3 linked regions of the Schizosaccharomyces pombe genome follow. The protein of the gene in region 1 purifies or fractionates together with the protein of each later gene. This does not show direct contact. Each region holds a gene or a part of one and is shown in the gene's direction. Other genes may lie near its edges. The genes, in order: exo5, rim1 and ssb2.

The links.
Region 2: the proteins of exo5 (region 1) and rim1 purify together in Schizosaccharomyces pombe (co-purification; one study listed by BioGRID). This does not show direct contact.
Region 3: the proteins of exo5 (region 1) and ssb2 purify together in Schizosaccharomyces pombe (co-purification; one study listed by BioGRID). This does not show direct contact.

The regions. Positions count from the first base shown.
Region 1 is NC_003423.3:2,770,600-2,775,896, forward strand, and holds exo5 (single-strand DNA-specific 5'-3' exodeoxyribonuclease Exo5), read left to right. Parts: upstream 1-2,253; 5' UTR 2,254-2,284; coding exon 2,285-2,447; exon of another isoform or gene 2,448-2,502; coding exon 2,503-2,567; exon of another isoform or gene 2,568-2,717; coding exon 2,718-3,494; intron 3,495-3,623; coding exon 3,624-3,848; downstream 3,849-5,297. Other genes in the region: INCENP-like protein Pic1, read left to right, coding at 1-1,771; SPOM_SPBC685.03 (uncharacterized protein), read left to right, coding at 4,098-5,297.
Region 2 is NC_003424.3:3,926,136-3,930,532, reverse strand, and holds rim1 (single-strand DNA-binding protein Rim1), read left to right. Parts: upstream 1-2,155; 5' UTR 2,156-2,215; coding exon 2,216-2,564; intron 2,565-2,648; coding exon 2,649-2,752; 3' UTR 2,753-3,082; downstream 3,083-4,397. Other genes in the region: SPOM_SPAC2F3.05C (xylose and arabinose reductase), read left to right, coding at 897-1,724; DNA-directed RNA polymerase I complex subunit Rpa49, read left to right, coding at 3,273-4,397. UniProt on the Schizosaccharomyces pombe protein: This protein binds preferentially and cooperatively to ss-DNA. Involved in mitochondrial DNA replication.
Region 3 is NC_003421.2:1,536,975-1,544,379, reverse strand, and holds ssb2 (single-stranded DNA-binding protein Ssb2), read left to right. Parts: upstream 1-2,287; 5' UTR 2,288-2,465; coding exon 2,466-2,591; exon of another isoform or gene 2,592-2,718; coding exon 2,719-3,432; 3' UTR 3,433-3,837; coding exon of another isoform or gene 3,838-5,850; 3' UTR 5,851-5,990; downstream 5,991-7,405. Other genes in the region: G-protein-coupled receptor Git3, read left to right, coding at 1-1,199; SNARE-binding protein Sec1, read right to left, coding at 3,838-5,850, 6,067-6,107, 6,146-6,173; eRF3-like class 2 translation release factor sup35, read right to left, coding at 6,856-7,405. UniProt on the Schizosaccharomyces pombe protein: Binds to single-stranded sequences.

The DNA.
Region 1 (5,297 bases):
CTATGAACTGAAAACTTATGATCGTGCCGAACGATTAAGGCAGAAAATACAAGAAGTAAGTTCTAATAAAAGATTAATTCCTTCGACTCCGCCCACGAAGAAACCGATTAATGCAGTTTTAGATGCTGCTAAAAACTCTGCAGCTAAGGATTTGCACCTTGCTAAAATGAAGCTGAATAATAAAAACGACGAGTCTTCCTTAAGCCCTGCAAAAAGTCATGCTGTAATCACTCAAGCGCCTAAGATCCCCCTGATAAGCACATTCACAAGGCTTTCAACCAGAAAGTCGTCAAATGATTTTAATTCTTCAAATTCTAGACCAAGCTCAAACGCTTTGAAATCGGATGCAAACGAAAATACGGACTCTTCTTTGCCGCCTTCCAAGAAGGAATTTATTGAAAAATCTCTGCACAAGTTATCTGAACCATTGCATGATGATTCTCGTCAAAATTCTGATCACAACTTTGCTCCGCATTCACGTCCGATTGCAATTCGTGTGGCCACAGCCTCTCAACGCGAACTTGAGCAAACTGAAAAGCGAAAAGCAAAAAATGGAGCAGCAAATGCTTCAAATATGGAAAGCCGCTCTTCTGAAAACGAAACTCATCGCTTCAAAAAGTTCTATGGTAAAGAACGAGAGTTATCAAACAACGAATTTCCAAGTCGTCAGACCAAAACTGTCACATCAGCCAATTCATCTAACATTAGGGATATGGAACATACTATTTCCGATAAACCTCGTTCTGAACCAGATGCTATACCATCAAGTAAAAGCATGCACTCAAATAAGCCATTTGAGGAAAAATCAGAAAAACCAACGACCAAAAGACTTGTTACTAACCCATCAAATGTGAATGCTTCATGGCATTCAAATATGTTAAAAAGACAAGAAGATTTACGAAAGAAGAAACCGTTAACCGACAACGGTGCAACTTCAAGGCATATGCTAAAATCTGGGTTAACACGCGTCACGTCGAAACCCACTCAAAGGTTTGCGAATGAGCTAGCTGAGGACATGTCATTGGCATTTCATTCAACTATTCCAAAAAAAATGGAGCCTGACTCAGTTACTTCTGTAACTCAGCCTTCTGTTGGTAGTTTGAGAAACAACTTCGATATAGGGACCACTAATAGTCAGAATGAAGATCGAAAAAAGAAGATAGCTGCACAAAAAAATAAGAATCCCGTACATGGTAATGTCGGTCTTACGAATCAACATGGATTCAAAACAATGCATCACAACGTCAACCCTTTTACTAAGCAGAATGGTATTATGAAAGGAAAGCTTCCATCTTCTAGTACTTCACAATCAAATAAACCTTTTATTGAAAAAGCTTCTATGCACGCTCCAGCTAAAGGTAGGAACTCGTCTATGCAGGAGCCCTCTTCTAAATCACCGTTACTGAAAACGCCTAAGTCGAATTATTTTCCTGGATATGGATCCCTATCGCCTAACACGTCTGTGGAATTACCAGAAATAAATAGCGATTATTCGGATGATTCAGATGATGAAGGTAATAAGAAAAAGGTAAATTTACCATCGTGGGCTGAATCACCTGAGTTACGAGAGCAATTAAAACGACAACAAAAGTGGGATCCAGACAAAATTTTCGGTATGATTAAACCTCTGCAAATGGATGAGTATTTCCGATCGAAGGATCGATCGAAGATTCGATTTCGACCAAGAAGCTCTTCTGCTGACTGGTCATCTCAAGATCGTTTGACCCAAGCAGAAATTGATAACTATAAGAAAAACATGGGTTTTTTATAGAGTTCTGGATTTTTGAAATGAATTTTGTATATTAAAGAACTGGGAAATTAATAGAGAAATACTTTAATTTATCTTATGAAACAATTTGCATAGAGTTAGATGACAAAATTAAATTAGATTAAAGGTTTTTGAATCTACTAATAACAATTATAATGAAATAGACCTCCATCTTAGACATTGAAGCATCGCTGATAATTAGTTTTTGTGCCGCAATAACATTAGCCATTAACAAACGTAGTTTGACATTGCCAGAAACTTAATCTACTTGTTCAAAGTTTTAATTTCTTTGAACGAAAAGAAACTGTGAAAGTACTTCTATCATCAATAGTTTAGCACAGTTTACATTGCTAGTTTTGGTTACACTAGACATTTACGTTCCACCATTTTAATAAAACTAGTGTAAAGCTTTTTTACCGTCTGGTTGGTTACTTTAAAAAAAAGAATTATTCTATTAAATGTGTGAACTAACGTAACCCGCACCTGAATAAATCATCCTAACGAAACATTAAGTCTATGGAAGAATATGAAGATTTTGAGATGGAAGATTTGAGCGAATTAGTCTCTTATATGGACTATCTTGAAACACAAAGATTGACTATTAGCCAATTGGATTATTCTTTGAGCATTCCACCACAATTGCTCGTAAGCAGGGAAATTTCTAAACTAGAGGACGAAGGTACGATATATTTCACTCAAGTCATGAACCAGACAAGCTAATAATCAACGTTCAGTTTGTGAAATGTTAAAAGAAAGTTCATTATTCCAACTGTTTCGAAAACACAAAGGTTATTTAAATGTAAGGTCTTTCTGAAGTTTGTGAATGATTTTTTATGGTTTTGTCAACAGATTTATAATAGCGGATTGAGACAATGCTATTCTTAGCATAATCATTTACAAGCATTAATCAATTGCATGTTTTTCATTTACTGACAGAACCTATTATTAGGTTACTGACCTTGTTTTACCTTTGTGGTGTGAAGTGCAACATGAATACTATTTATTGAGAAGAATTAAAAAAAAGACCCCGAAGATGGAACGCGGAATTAAGCTGCATCAAATACTTGAGTATGAAACCTCCCCTCCATCAGAACGTCGAGTGCTTGATCGGACATCCAAGGAGGAACCATGGGCATTACGATTATTAAGGCAATTAGAAGGTATTATGTTATTACAAAAAAATGGAATTACAAGAGAGTTTCCAATCTGGGGATATTACAAAGAGTCCTCAATTTTTGGCATTATTGATGAAATAAGTCTAAACAACCCTTCAAAAAGCAATTTTAATAGTGACATCCGCAATTACTTCAATTTCAAAATGTACGATTTAAGTTTTGTTGACAATAAAACTCGGTTTTCTTCCAGAAAGCCTGGAGCTTCACAAATTCTTAGTTCCAAAGTACAACTAATGTATTACGTTCATCTCTTTTTAAATTATTTCCCCTCTCTAGGAGAAAAACAACAAAGCATTTTTAGGGATATTTCTCCTACATATTCTAACAGACTTCATTCTCAAAGTCACTGGTGGAACATGTTTTTGAGCCAACTATCGCTGGACGGCACCAAGGACTTGGGGCCGAAATTTTTAGAGCAATCAATTCTTTCAATTCCCGATATTCCTGAAGATGTCTTTGCAGGTCATAACTCGCTAAATGGACTTTATGCACTCGTATTTGCTTCAGCTAAGAAGTTGCATTTACGTCTTACTGATGACAATCTTACCATTGTAAGTGACACAACCAATTAACTCGAAAATTATTTCGTTATCATTACAACTTTTAATTTTTTTTACGATGATTAGAATCCTTTTCGTAATATGATTGTCTGAACTATCGTTACTAACATCTTTTACTAGGCATACAGGAATGACAAAACAGGAGAAGTGGTATACAAAGACAAATTCTCTTTTAGCAATAAATTATTAGAAGCTTCCTATACTAAGGCTTATCAATTTTGGCACAATTTAAGGGAGCCTGAAGGCGTTCCTGCAGAGGAAGTCTACAAATGCCGAAGTTGTGAATTTCAGAAAGAATGTTGGTGGCTCAAAAAGAAACAGTATTACCCTCTTTCAAGTCCGTAATTGGGAATAATGACAGTTGAAAAGATTCCCAGAACATAGTTGGTCATTGGCATCCTATATGTTTAGCAACGATTTTCTTCCATCATATTTTGATAGGGCTGCTAGGTTGTTGAAGTCATCAACTTTTAATTTTTTTATCAATCTTTAAGAGGCAATTGAAATCATTTCTATGTAATCGATATAATTTGTGTTAAATCTCTATTTAAAAGAGCATGGTTTTTTTATTGCATTTTCTAGATCTCGGTGACGATGCAATTCTTTGGTAGCTTGTTTGTTTCTCTCCTAGGTGCCGCGGGTCTAGCTAATGCTCTACCATCACCAGGCATTCCTAGTAATGACAAAGATTTGGCCATTTATCCTCCTGTCGATGCCAATAATACTACTTCTCAAGATGTCGTTATAGACGTAGTTCTATTTAACGGTACTGAATGGATTTCCTCTCGCGAGAGATTTTCACTTGTTTCACCAGGATGGGCAAGCATTTACGGTCCATCGGGTCAGAGTTCTGTTGGGTCAGTACTTTATAGCCCTATTTTGGATTACATTGACAATGCGCAACTGTTAGTTTTGGACGACGTGTCTTTCGGTGTCTTCTCTTCCCTGGCCAATTCTGTTACAGGTTATGCTTCCAACTATACTCAGTCATCCAGCAATTCCACTTCCACAATGAATTCAACCGGAAGTGTTTCTGGAGGATCAGTCTATCCAACCAATTCAACCACTAATAGTTCCATTTCATGGAATAGTTCAACTTCTGCTGCTACAAACACAAGCTCAAGCAGTAGCTCAAGTAGCCAGAGTTCAGTCGTTAGCGTAAATTCGGAAATATTTTCTTATTTCGGTTTAAGTCAACAATATGTTAATTACTCTACCTCTAGGCTTTGTGTTGTTGGTACCCCTAGGGCTAATATGTCTACGGTTTCTGTCACGAACAATGGATCGGCAGTCTCCAACTACACCGTCAATACGAATGGATGGACTTCCTCCAATTTCAAGTGTGTAGACGATGTGGTTGCAAATATTTTTGGATTAGATTTTTACACAGCTGCTGTGCTTTCTGAAGTCTCCATCCTTAGGAGCTTTGCATTATGTAATGCAACGACTAGCTCTTCACTTTTCCGTCAAATTGCAAGTTATGGTGTCTATGGATCTTTCCATTTCTCCTCCTCTGAAAGTGGTTCTTTTGCTAACCTTATTGGCACAAATAACTACTTTATGACTGATGTTAAATCATCGTCTGTAGTCATCGTTCAAAGTGAAACATCTTGTAGTATTAATAGCGCCTCTATGTCTTCCAACACAACTTATTTCTACTGGAACAGTACATCTTCCCTATCATCTAGTGTGTTTACAAATACTACATCTAGTTCAAATAGCACGAACTCTTCCATTCCGACGACTTACCCGTCTAATTCAACTACCTATCAGAACATTACGACTAGTTATCCA
Region 2 (4,397 bases), on another chromosome or scaffold:
AAAACTAATCATTGTAGTTTAAAACTTTTCCCTATGTTTCACATATGGAATGGAGCGGCAATAGTCTGGTAGAGCAGTCCATTTCAAAGTAGCGCATTCCATACTATTTTAATCATACATTTACGTCGGTTTAAAAGACACGAATAATGTTTAAAGGTAAGATAAATAAAATGTATAATAAAACTTGAGAGCGTTTTCTCTTGTTGATTATAAGTCTACCACACCTTGATGTCAATTAAGCTAATACTCAGCAAGTACAAACGCATTGTTCATTAAATGCATTTTTATCAATAATTACTATTGGAGTTCAGTCTTTTGCTCTCGCATAAAAATCCGCTTAAAAACTATAAAACCCGCTCAATCACAAATTTCTCAAAAAACCGCTATATTCGCGATTCAGCATTTGTCACAAGCTTCGATTGATCTCATACATAGCATTTTATTCATTTCATTCTCGAACGAACATTGCTGAATTCCATCGATCGATTAGTACGAATTCGAAGCTTAACGAACTTTTGTGACGAAAAGCTGGGTTAACATCATTCTTTACATGTCGCTGTACGTAAGGTAAAAACGTGATGGTGCTTCGGGATGTTGCTTATCATTACCACTCATTAATGTTATATCAGAAGTTTTTCATGGTATAAATAGTACTGTGTTGTTCGCATGTCGGGTTAGCAATACCATTTTAGTGAAAAGAATTTATAACGTTCTTTTCTTTGGTAGTTGAAAATATTGAATATTTCAAAAATACTCAATAGCATTGAAAAACAGCTTGGTTATATTCAATTTTGCTGAATCTCGTTGATTGCTTAATTGAATAATTATCAATTTCCTCGTTCATTAATTTTTGACTTTTTTCTTTTAATTTAATTTTATTTTTTTGTTCATACATTATGTTGGGATCATTTGTTAAGTTAAACAATGGACTTAAGTGCCCTCAATTTGCTTACGGTTCTTACATGGTGAATCGTACAAAATGCTTCGATTCGGTGTATGCTGCCCTTCAATGCGGATATCGACACATCGATTCGGCTCAGATGTATCACAACGAGGCTGACTGTGGAAGAGCCATCCTTAAGTTCATGGAAGAGACTGGTACGAAACGAGAGGATATTTGGTTCACTAGCAAGCTTAATGATTTAAGTGGGTACAAATCTACTTTGAGCAGTATTGATGCCAGTGTTAAGGCATGTGGCCTTGGCTATATTGATCTGTTTCTTCTTCACTCTCCCTATGGTGATCGTATTGAATCATGGAAGGCGTTGGAGAAAGGTGTTGAAGAGGGAAAACTTCGTGCTATCGGCGTTTCCAACTTTGGTCCTCATCACATCCAGGAATTGTTGGACAGCCATCCAAAGATTATACCATGTGTCAATCAAATCGAACTTCACCCTTTTTGCTCCCAACAAAAAGTCGTCGATTACTGTGAATCCAAGGGTATCCAACTTGCTGCCTACGCTCCTCTTGTTCATGGTGAAAAGTTTGGCAACAAGCAACTTCTCGCCATTGCTAGCAAGTATAACAAGTCTGAGGCTCAAATCATGATTAGATACTGTCTACAGCGTGGATTCATTGTACTTCCCAAGAGTTCTACTCCCAGGAGGATCAAAGAGAATGGCGACGTTTTCGATTTCGAAATATCTAAAGAGGATATGGAGAAGCTCTACAACTTGGATGAGGATTATCATTCGGATTGGAACCCATGCGTTTCCCCTTTATAATATGTTAAATGATCGTCTTGTAAGAGCAGAGAATGCATTTTATTATTTATTTCCTCTGCTATCCCTAGATATGCTAGTATGATAGAATTTACGAAACTCAATTTATGTCAGCTTATATACCAAACATGCATCCAATGACTGTTAGTATGAATTAGTATGAATCCGATATTACTTTTATCATATACGATCATAGATTAGAAAATTCGTATTACTTCCATTGATTTGTAAATGCTAGCATAATGTATCGTAAACTTATTAGAAACCTAAAGTACCTCATGGAAATGGCTCATTTTGGGTAGAAATATATTCAGACTCTTTACTATGTAGCTAATTAAAAGCAAATTCTACCCTAACTTTGGTTTTATCAATTCACACACTTCTCCAAGTACTTTTCGCTTCGTATATGCGACGTATGCGCACTTCACTCATCCACAACACCACACAATAAGACTCCATTAATTGCTTTCCTGTGAGCTCAAGGTACTAAAAACATGCTATTCTTAAAATCCAGCAGAGCATTTTCCAAACGACTGTTTTCTTCATCGACTGTTCGTTATAGAGATATTCAACGTTTGACATTGACTGGCAATTTAACAAAAGACGTTGAGCGTTTGCAGTCTCAAAAAGGAAACGAATATATGCGTTATACTGTAGCTTCCAATAATGGAAAAGACGTAGCCCCTACCTTTCACTCGGTTTATGTTTTCGATAGTTACAATTTCGACAGACTTCAAACTATTTTAAGGAAGGGAACGCGTGTTTATGTGGAGGCCGATGCTGTTTGGCGTTCCGTCCCAGCTGGAAATGAAGGATCTCAAGCGAAAATGAGCCTGCGACATGGTACGCAACATTGCAATGGTCCAAGTTGAAGCCTGAAGCAAAATTTGAAAACAGAATATAGTATTTACTAACCTCTCTTATTAGTATCTGCAGACGTTTTATTTTATCCTCGTAACAAAAATGGCGATGAATCCGGAGAAGAGACTCATCCTGAATTAGACGCAGATCCTATGATTAACAGCTTCTAAAATTCGTGTTTCTAGTTTAAAAATTTTCTGCACTTTAGACCGTTAATATATTTGGGTGGTATTTTTCTAGGGATTATTGAGTTTAAAAAGTCTCCTAATTCATTTTCTCTGCATTATGCACATACTTGGTATTGCTATGTATTTTTCATTTGATGTTTATTTCATTATTCCGCTGGAAATAATCTACCCATGGCTCTTCTGATTTGTTTTTATAGACAATAATGTCTCTGCTGTAATGTTTTCATTGCGTTCTAGGAATTACTTAGTCACCTTTACTCCTTCTTTTTCAAAGTGACAAATTTGTTAGTCCTTTACAGTAAATTAATAATCATTTTTTTTTATTTTAAAGTGTACTCTACGATTTGTAATATTCAGTTTCTTTAATTCTTTTCATTTAATGACTGATCCTCAAACTTCGTTAAGTTAGATTTCGCAGCCTCTGTGACTGTACACTACACTTCGTCAAACAAGCAAAGCTCTTTAAGCGCTAGCATTTTTACCAACAGCATCCACTATTGGAATGGCAGGTGACGAGTTAAAGGGCAAGAAGCGGAAATATAGAGATTCCCATTCCGGTGATGAAAAATCCGTTAAGATATTGCCTTTGAGTGAATCGAGTTTACCACCACTTGTCACGACAATTTCCGGATTTTATCCACCCGAAAATACCCGGTTCCAGCTTCTCAAAAAGAGCAATCAGAGCAACAGAGATGCGTCGTTAATTGGAAGGACAGAGCGTGTTCAATTTGAGGCTAAAAATCAATCAACGGCTACGGTTGAGGCAAATTACTGTTTAGCTGTTGCTGATAAAACTGGTCGTGTAAAAAAGATTGTTCCAGCAAAGTATCTTAATACTTTTGAAAGAAATATTTTGGCACTTCAGGAGAAGGACAAATTTTTGAAAAAGAAGCATGGAACTGTAAGCGGTACTGTTATGGAACAGCGTGCCAACTTGGGTTTGGCATTTGGTACAAGAAAAAGTCAAAAAGCTATTATGGAAGAGTCCGCCAATCGTGTCAAAGCTGAAACTTTGGGAGATGTCAAGGATCAATTGGTTAGTAATGTTCAAAAAGCTACTGAAGCACTTCCAACGCAAGAAGATATCGCTGCTGCTCAAGCGCAAGATCGCCCTATTCCTCCTGTCAATGTCGGTGCTGAATCCATTGAAGATGCATACAAATTGGAGGACATTATTCCCAAAGAAGAGTTTTCAGCTATTTACATTAAGCCTCTGTTAGAAAACCCTGACGAGCGCAATTGGGCCAAATTATTGCCGTACCGTCACTCCTTGTTTATTAATGAACGCTTCCAGCGATTACTTTCCATTGAGGAGGTTGACCAGAAGCGGGCGAGAATTTTGTATTACATTTCTCTTTTGCAAGCTTTTTTGTTTTCTCGTCGTTCTGTGGGCAACCGTGAAACTTTACGTAAAAAATTGGCTGATCCACCAGAGATTCTTATTGATGGGTTGATTAAACGTTTTACTCAAACCACCGGTATTGGTAGCGTCCAAGTATCATCTCGAGAAGTTGATAAAATCATATGTTATATTCTGGTATTGTGCTTAATCGTTGATAATTACTCAACTGATGTTCTTACCTTGGCAAATGACTTGAATGTCAAGACCATGAAGGCTAATGAGCTT
Region 3 (7,405 bases), on another chromosome or scaffold:
TTTCTGTATTGTTTATTCGTTCCATTGTGCAAATGATTCATCCATGTCTAGCATTAAGCGATCCTTTTTTTTGGGCTCCAAAACATCGATGCTTTACAATTGGATTTTTTCTTTTGGTACTTGTTCGGATGACTGATTATTGGATTTTTATCAACATATTGCATAATGCTCTTTTGGTGCTTTTCCCCCATGTTGATACTGAACGAAGGGGTCTATATCGTTTTCGGCATACTGTGTTTACACTGTCATTTGTAATTCCTTTAACTATTGGCGGACTTGCTTTTACCAATAAAAGAAATACATTTGTCAATTTACAAACCCGATGCTACCTTCCCTATACCCCTGTACGATTCATGTTTGGTTTGAATTGGTCATTTGATTATGCGCTAAGTATTGCAATTATTGCTTTACAAACTTGCATGTTCATCTCGATCAGAAGGAAAATCAAACGTTTCAAGAAATACTCACATCAACAAACAAATGTGTTTGATACTTTAAATGTCATTGATTCGTATCCTACCGCTCCGGATCAAGTAGCTCTTCCACCATTTCCCGACACCAACAGTACTTTAACATATACTCCATCTAATTCTCAATCCATTTACTCCTCGCAGTCTCAACCTTCTCCCTATTCGAGACCGTTACTATCCTCTGTGCATCCTAATTTGCCTCCTGGTTCGCAGTCTACTCCTGCTAATCTAAATCAATCAGGAATACATTTCGAACAGGATTTTAGGGATAGTCCAAATCGCACAAATGGCCTTGAAGATCACACGAGTTTTAAACTCAGTAGTCCATTGACTAGTGACGAAGATGGTGCTTCTAGTGTTTTGGCTGCATATGGAAATGATATGCAAGATGATCCCCTCCTTAAACAACGGAAACGCATTTTAAGTCAGTCTAAGTTTTTGTTTGCTTATCCTGCAATTTTTATCTTTATGTGGATTCTCCCTCAAATACAGATTATCGTTATACTTGCCCAACCGTTGCACTGCTCTGGTTCATGCAAACGATTCGCATTTGTTGCAGTCTTTGCAGACAACTTCGTTGCCATCTTTATTGCCTTGTCAGATTTTATTTGGATTTGTTATCGTGGCTACACGTATTTGAAGGAAAGAGATTCGAGTAAAAGTTATTGGGATCAAATAAAGGAGTTGACTTTAAAATGGTGGCGGGGTAAATTTGGTGAGGAAAAATAGAAGGATTTGTTCTTTTTATTTTTGTTTATGGTGAAGTCTCACAAGCTCCTCTTCTTGTATTATAATTTCTTTTTATGACGATTTTATTATCACTTTACTTCTTAAAATTTTCTCATAGCCTTTGCATTCATATGTCTTCCTTTTTTGTTAAAGCCATCCAGTGAATGACAATGGAATGTGAATGGAAACAACTGTGGTAAACCAACTAATATTTTAATATCTCCCATTTTTGCATCACCTCTAATATATGTCATACTTTAATTTTCGCTTCCCAGAATTTATTTCGAAGTATTAAATTTTGGCACTACTTAACTTGGCAAAAGGCTCGGATTGGAAGATGGTTTAAAGCTTGGCTGCTTCAAATTGATAAGGCCGCTCACAATTATCGATGTATATATATGTACTGTGTCTATGACAGTTTTCTATTCATCTCGGGGAATTCATTTTTGGAACGCTTAGTCGCCTAAACAATTCTTCCTTATATAGAATGTTTATGTTCAGCTTTACCAACTATCATTCACTCGTTTTCATTTTTCAGATGCTCTTACATTTTACTGCTTGCATTAAGCATCTGTCTTCAAAACTATATTCAAAATTTATGTCCCCAATACTATATTTCCTCAATACATAAAATGGATGGATTGTGCATAGCAATACGTTTATGTTCTTATTTTGTATATGTCGATGTGCGAATAGTCATTCACCATTAGCTATTCTTTTGTTGTGGATAAATCGCTTTTCTTCCTATACGATTTGTAAAATTGCGTCGGACATTTGTTCCATGCCTTCTTGTTACATATGAATGTGTTAATGTTTACAAATTTAATAATGTATTTTTTAGTTTTTCTTTACATTTGGTAAAGCAGAATGGTAGCACAGTATCTGATTGCTTTAAGCGTTTTAAGTCAATTGAGCATCCCGTGATTAGTAGGTTTTTGTATTGAAAACTATACGGTTATAGAGAAAAAAAGTAGATGTAAGATGGTTTTCTAAATAAAACAGTTAATTTTATTACATTGTAGTATATAAGCACGCTTGCTTGATTTTATTCTTTTCGGTACACCACCGCGAAACGCGACTCGTAACTTGTACTAAACACACCACTGAAAAGTAGACTACTCGTGGAATCAGCTGTAACTTTATATTCAATTATTTAAAAATCACTCTCTAAAAGATCGCAGATATATTTTTAAGTGGTTGATTTGCTTTTTCATCGCTCTTTAATTCACCCTAACAAACTTTCATAATTTGAGATAATACGTGCTCATGGCTTATGATGCTTTTGGCAAGCCGGGCTATGGTCCCGACTTCAATAGCGCTTTTTCTCCAGGAATGGGAGGAGGCGCTGGATTTAATGAATATGATCAATCGAGCCAGCCCAGCGTCGATAGAGTAAGTGGGATAAAATACTAAAACTATTGTTTGAATAACCGCAAGGTGATACTTTTTGGTTGATAGTTTTGTACTAGCACTGACCTTATTCATAAAAATATCTAATACTAATTTTTCCAATGTTTAGCAACAAGGAGCTGGAAATAAATTACGTCCTGTTACCATTAAGCAAATTCTCAATGCCTCTCAAGTTCACGCTGATGCAGAATTCAAGATAGATGGCGTTGAAGTCGGACAGGTTACTTTTGTAGGAGTTTTACGGAACATTCACGCTCAAACTACAAACACAACATATCAAATAGAAGATGGAACAGGAATGATTGAAGTAAGGCATTGGGAACACATTGATGCGCTATCTGAACTTGCTACAGACACCTATGTTCGTGTGTATGGAAACATCAAAATATTTTCTGGAAAAATTTACATTGCTTCTCAATACATCCGTACAATTAAAGACCATAATGAAGTCCATTTTCATTTCCTTGAAGCAATTGCTGTACACCTACATTTCACTCAGAAAGCAAATGCTGTGAACGGAGCCAACGCTCCAGGCTACGGAACTTCCAACGCACTAGGCTACAATAACATTTCTTCAAATGGTGCTGCCAACTCTCTGGAACAAAAACTAGCTGAATATTCACTAACCCCCGCACAAATGACCGTTATGCAAGCTATCCATAGTGCACCAGAGACGAATGAAGGTGTTCACGTTAGACAACTTGCTCAAAGCGTGGGTCCCGGTATAGACCTTACGGCGGTTACTGATTTTCTTCAACAAGAAGGAATCATCTACACAACAATTGATGAAAATCATTTTAAAAGTGTTTTACAAGACCAATAACGCTTTTTATGATTTTGAAATAATGATTTTGGTATTGCGTTTCGAGGTTAAAGCTTTTGCTTCGTCCATTAACTGTTCATTAAATTCATTTGATTGTTTGGGAACAAGAACCATAATTATACCCCAAATGAACACGTTGAATTATATAACAGCAGACTAAAATGGGATTCACTGCATAGATATTAGTTTTTTGGGCAAGGAATTCCTTTTTTTGAGATTGAACTCGCTCTTTCATTAATAATATGAATAGTCATTACATTTTTAACTCAAAACAAAATTCTAGTTGAATACCTAGTTAGCTTATTGGGATTATAGGGCCATTTTTTGAAATGCTTAGAAAAGCCAGTATTAAAACTGGTAATTATACATTCTCACATGGTGCAATGAAGCAAAAGGCACTTAAATCTAGAAAACACCAAAACGCTTCTTTTTCTTTTTATCACTGGTTCCGTAAGTGGGTACTTTTTCTTTAGATTTGTCTTTGTCTTTCTTTGAGCTCATCATTAGCTTTCCTAGCTTATGTGACTTTCCTTTACTTTTCTTTTCATCTTTATGAATTGAAACAGCGTCGGAAGATGATGTATTTTCATATCTAGTCGAAGGTACATCAATGTTTGGCTGTTCTTGTATTCTATTAGGACTAGGGCGAGCCTCTAAGCATGGTATATGCCTGGGTTTATCTTCAGGAAATTTTAATGCCTCTCTTGGTTGTTGGAACTTTGAGAAAAAGTCCAACCATTCATTTGGAGAATAACATACTGTACTCCCAATATAAATGTCTTTGTTATATTTATCGGAAAGTTCATAACAGGTTCGTAATTCACTGAAAGTAGTGCCTCCCGCAACAAAAACGAGCATTTTTTCTCGCGGTAATTTGGAAGCCATTGAACGAGATCGAGTCCAAGATGGTCGGGAACTACGTAGAGAGGTCTGTTCCATACTTACTTCTGTCTGGGGAGTGGTATTTCGGACGTACGGAAAAAGCTCTGGATCCAACTTATCTTGGATAAGATTTTCCAAGACTACCTTTAAAGTGGGAACATATCTTGAAAGTTCATAAACATCTTCACCTGCGGGAAGAGAATTTGCAACCTCTTTTCTCTTGCTGCTTTGATCAGTCAAGTTTTTAATCACCCTTGTTCCAAGCTGCTCTAGGTTTTGAAATATTTGTTCTCGAGAGGTTGATAGATTGCTATGACGGAAAAGTCGAAATAGGTCCTGCAAAATGATTCCATCACGATATATAATGTATAAAAGAAGAAGGCGAATTTTGGTACTCTCTTCTGCATTACCTTCATCCAATAGGGGTAGCAGTTCAGAAAGTACACTTCGGGGGACTTTGCCTTCAACGTTGCTGCCAGTAGAAAGGTCTTGTTCAATAGCACCGATCAAGTTTAATTGCTGTTTTTCAAAAATATTCATGCATTCCTGAGCCATTGTTAGATGTAATGAATATTGATCTCTGAGCTCTTGAAAATCGGATAAACCCGCCAACATACTACGCATGTCATTCAGGGACGTGGCACGTTCTTTATCAAGAAACAGAGTATTGTCGATGCAAAATTGATTGAAATCTTTCATCAGCTTTTCAATAGCATCTCTCATGTGCATATGTCGAATGGTCGTGTAAACTAAATCATCATCATCCAATTTACCAGTACGTTTCTCAGTACCTTGAGGACCCAAAATTTCATAAGGATATTGTTCATTCTTAATAGGTAAAAGATCATGAATCATAGCTTGATACGTAAACTCGTGTAAGAAAGGAGCTGCAGTGTCTAATGATCGATCGACAATTAGACAAGTAGATTTTGAGGCGGCTTCATGGTATCCCGGGTGTTTAGAACAGTATTCTTCAACAATTTCACTTAGTTGATTTGCTAAAATGAAGGACATCGTTTTGGATGCATGTGGGGCATTTTTTGGATAATAACAACGAATGTTGGGGGAGATGCCAAGGCTGACGCAAACTGAAAAAATTCCATGCGCAACCTTGGAAAGCTCTTGACGAATGATTGCAGCGTTAGATGGATGGTAAAGGCGTAGTCCGGAAAAGGAATCATGTACTTGAAAATATCTTGATTCAAGACTAGTGAAATCCAAATAGGCGACTTGGACTGTACGAATTTTTGAGGCAATCCTAGACGTTCGTAATTTATTGATTAGTGGCTCCTTCACCATGTCTAGGAATACGATATGTATTCCTGGATACCTTTTATCATATTCTTCGTCTTTCAGAATGCAATCAACTAATTTTTCCTCTGAATGAAGTATATACAACGCTTCGAATGACGAATTGGGGGTACGCGGATTCTCCAAAATTTCGACAGCGGCAATTTTCTCCTCTAAAAGGCTGTGAATAGTGATAAAATGGTTAATAATGTCCGCTGTTTTGGTATCCACGATTAGAACTTTCCACTATTTATCTGTTAGGCACAAACCAAAAGCCAAAGATGTGAAACTGAACGGCTCCAAATTAGAAATAGGCCAATTTTGATAGTTTAAAAAAAATATGTCGGAGGAAATAATATGCTGCATATTCACAAATTCAATTCCATTTAAACAATATCCAAATCAAAATTCCCAGTAAACATTTCAGTGCACGTTATAAGTTTCACGGGTTCCATCTCTTACCTTCGTAGCACATTCTACTGAATTAATTTTGCTAAGAAACACTTATTTGTTAGTAATACACCAGCACAAATAACCATACATTCTTTTTGGAGCTCCAGCAGTGTCATCTCAAAACGTCAATGTCCCGTATTCCTAAACGGAATAGCAAAAACTATACCTTTCAACACTTCAATGCTTACTCTTAAAACCAAGCAACGTCAAAAGAGTACGTGAAATTCGGATACGGTACAGAAATGCTGGTGGAATGTAAACGGTAGAATGATCGGATTACTGTAAATATGATCCACCTCGGTATTTATTCGGTAAGATTTGGTGTAGTAGCACAATAAATTTCAGTATATCTAGTGATTTAAATAAACTATTATTTTACAATATTATGAAGATTTCAAGTGTAGTTTTAATCATTAATATGGATTGTAAAAAAACAACAACTTATTATCACATTTCACCCTTCCATAGCTGCAAAGTGCAACTGCTTATTTACTATTTGCTGACCTACTCCTCGCATTGAATTCTGTACGAAAAAAGTAAATAATTTCAAAGTGAATAGGGTGTAAAGGAGTGAATGTCCATTATTCTTCATATATACAACCCATCGCATTGAAATTAGGCATAGTAATACGCGTATATAACGATTAGATATACATCTTCTACCATACCGCTAGTCCACCAACTAAAAAATAAGCAAATCCCATTTTGTCCTAGTTGGATTATATACAGTAGAACCATAAAGTGTCATACATTTGCATAGAAACAAATCCCGAGCACGAGAAAATTGCCGAAATTACCCTAATCCAAAATTTTTACGACTTTGCCAACTGCAACCGTAGTACCCTGATCACGCAAAGTGAAACGGCCCATATACTGATAGTCCTCAAACCTTTCCATACAAACCGGAGTTTGTGTTTCCAACTCTGCAATAATTTTCATACCCTTGGTAGCAAACATGGGGGGTTTCTTGCTTTTGCGGTTTGTTTTGTCAAGTTTATGGAGCAACTTGGCAAATGAAACTTCCTCGACAGCGGTATGAATGTGCATTACACAAGAATAACCAGTTGTCAAAATTGAAGGCAACTCAAGGATCGCAATTTGTGCAATGAAACGAGTAGTAGCATGAACTGGGTTTTTAGTGGATGTTAAAACATAACCAGTTTGGACATCCGAATCGTCACCACGGACACGGAGACGAACTTGGTCACCGCAAATAGAAGAAGAGATTTCTTCATCAGCTTCATCATATATGGCTGTAACTTCAAGGGTTTGATTAATTGGCATAACCAATACGTTTGAATTTTTCTTAATCGAACCAGCCTCAATCTTTCCTTCTAAGATGGTACCC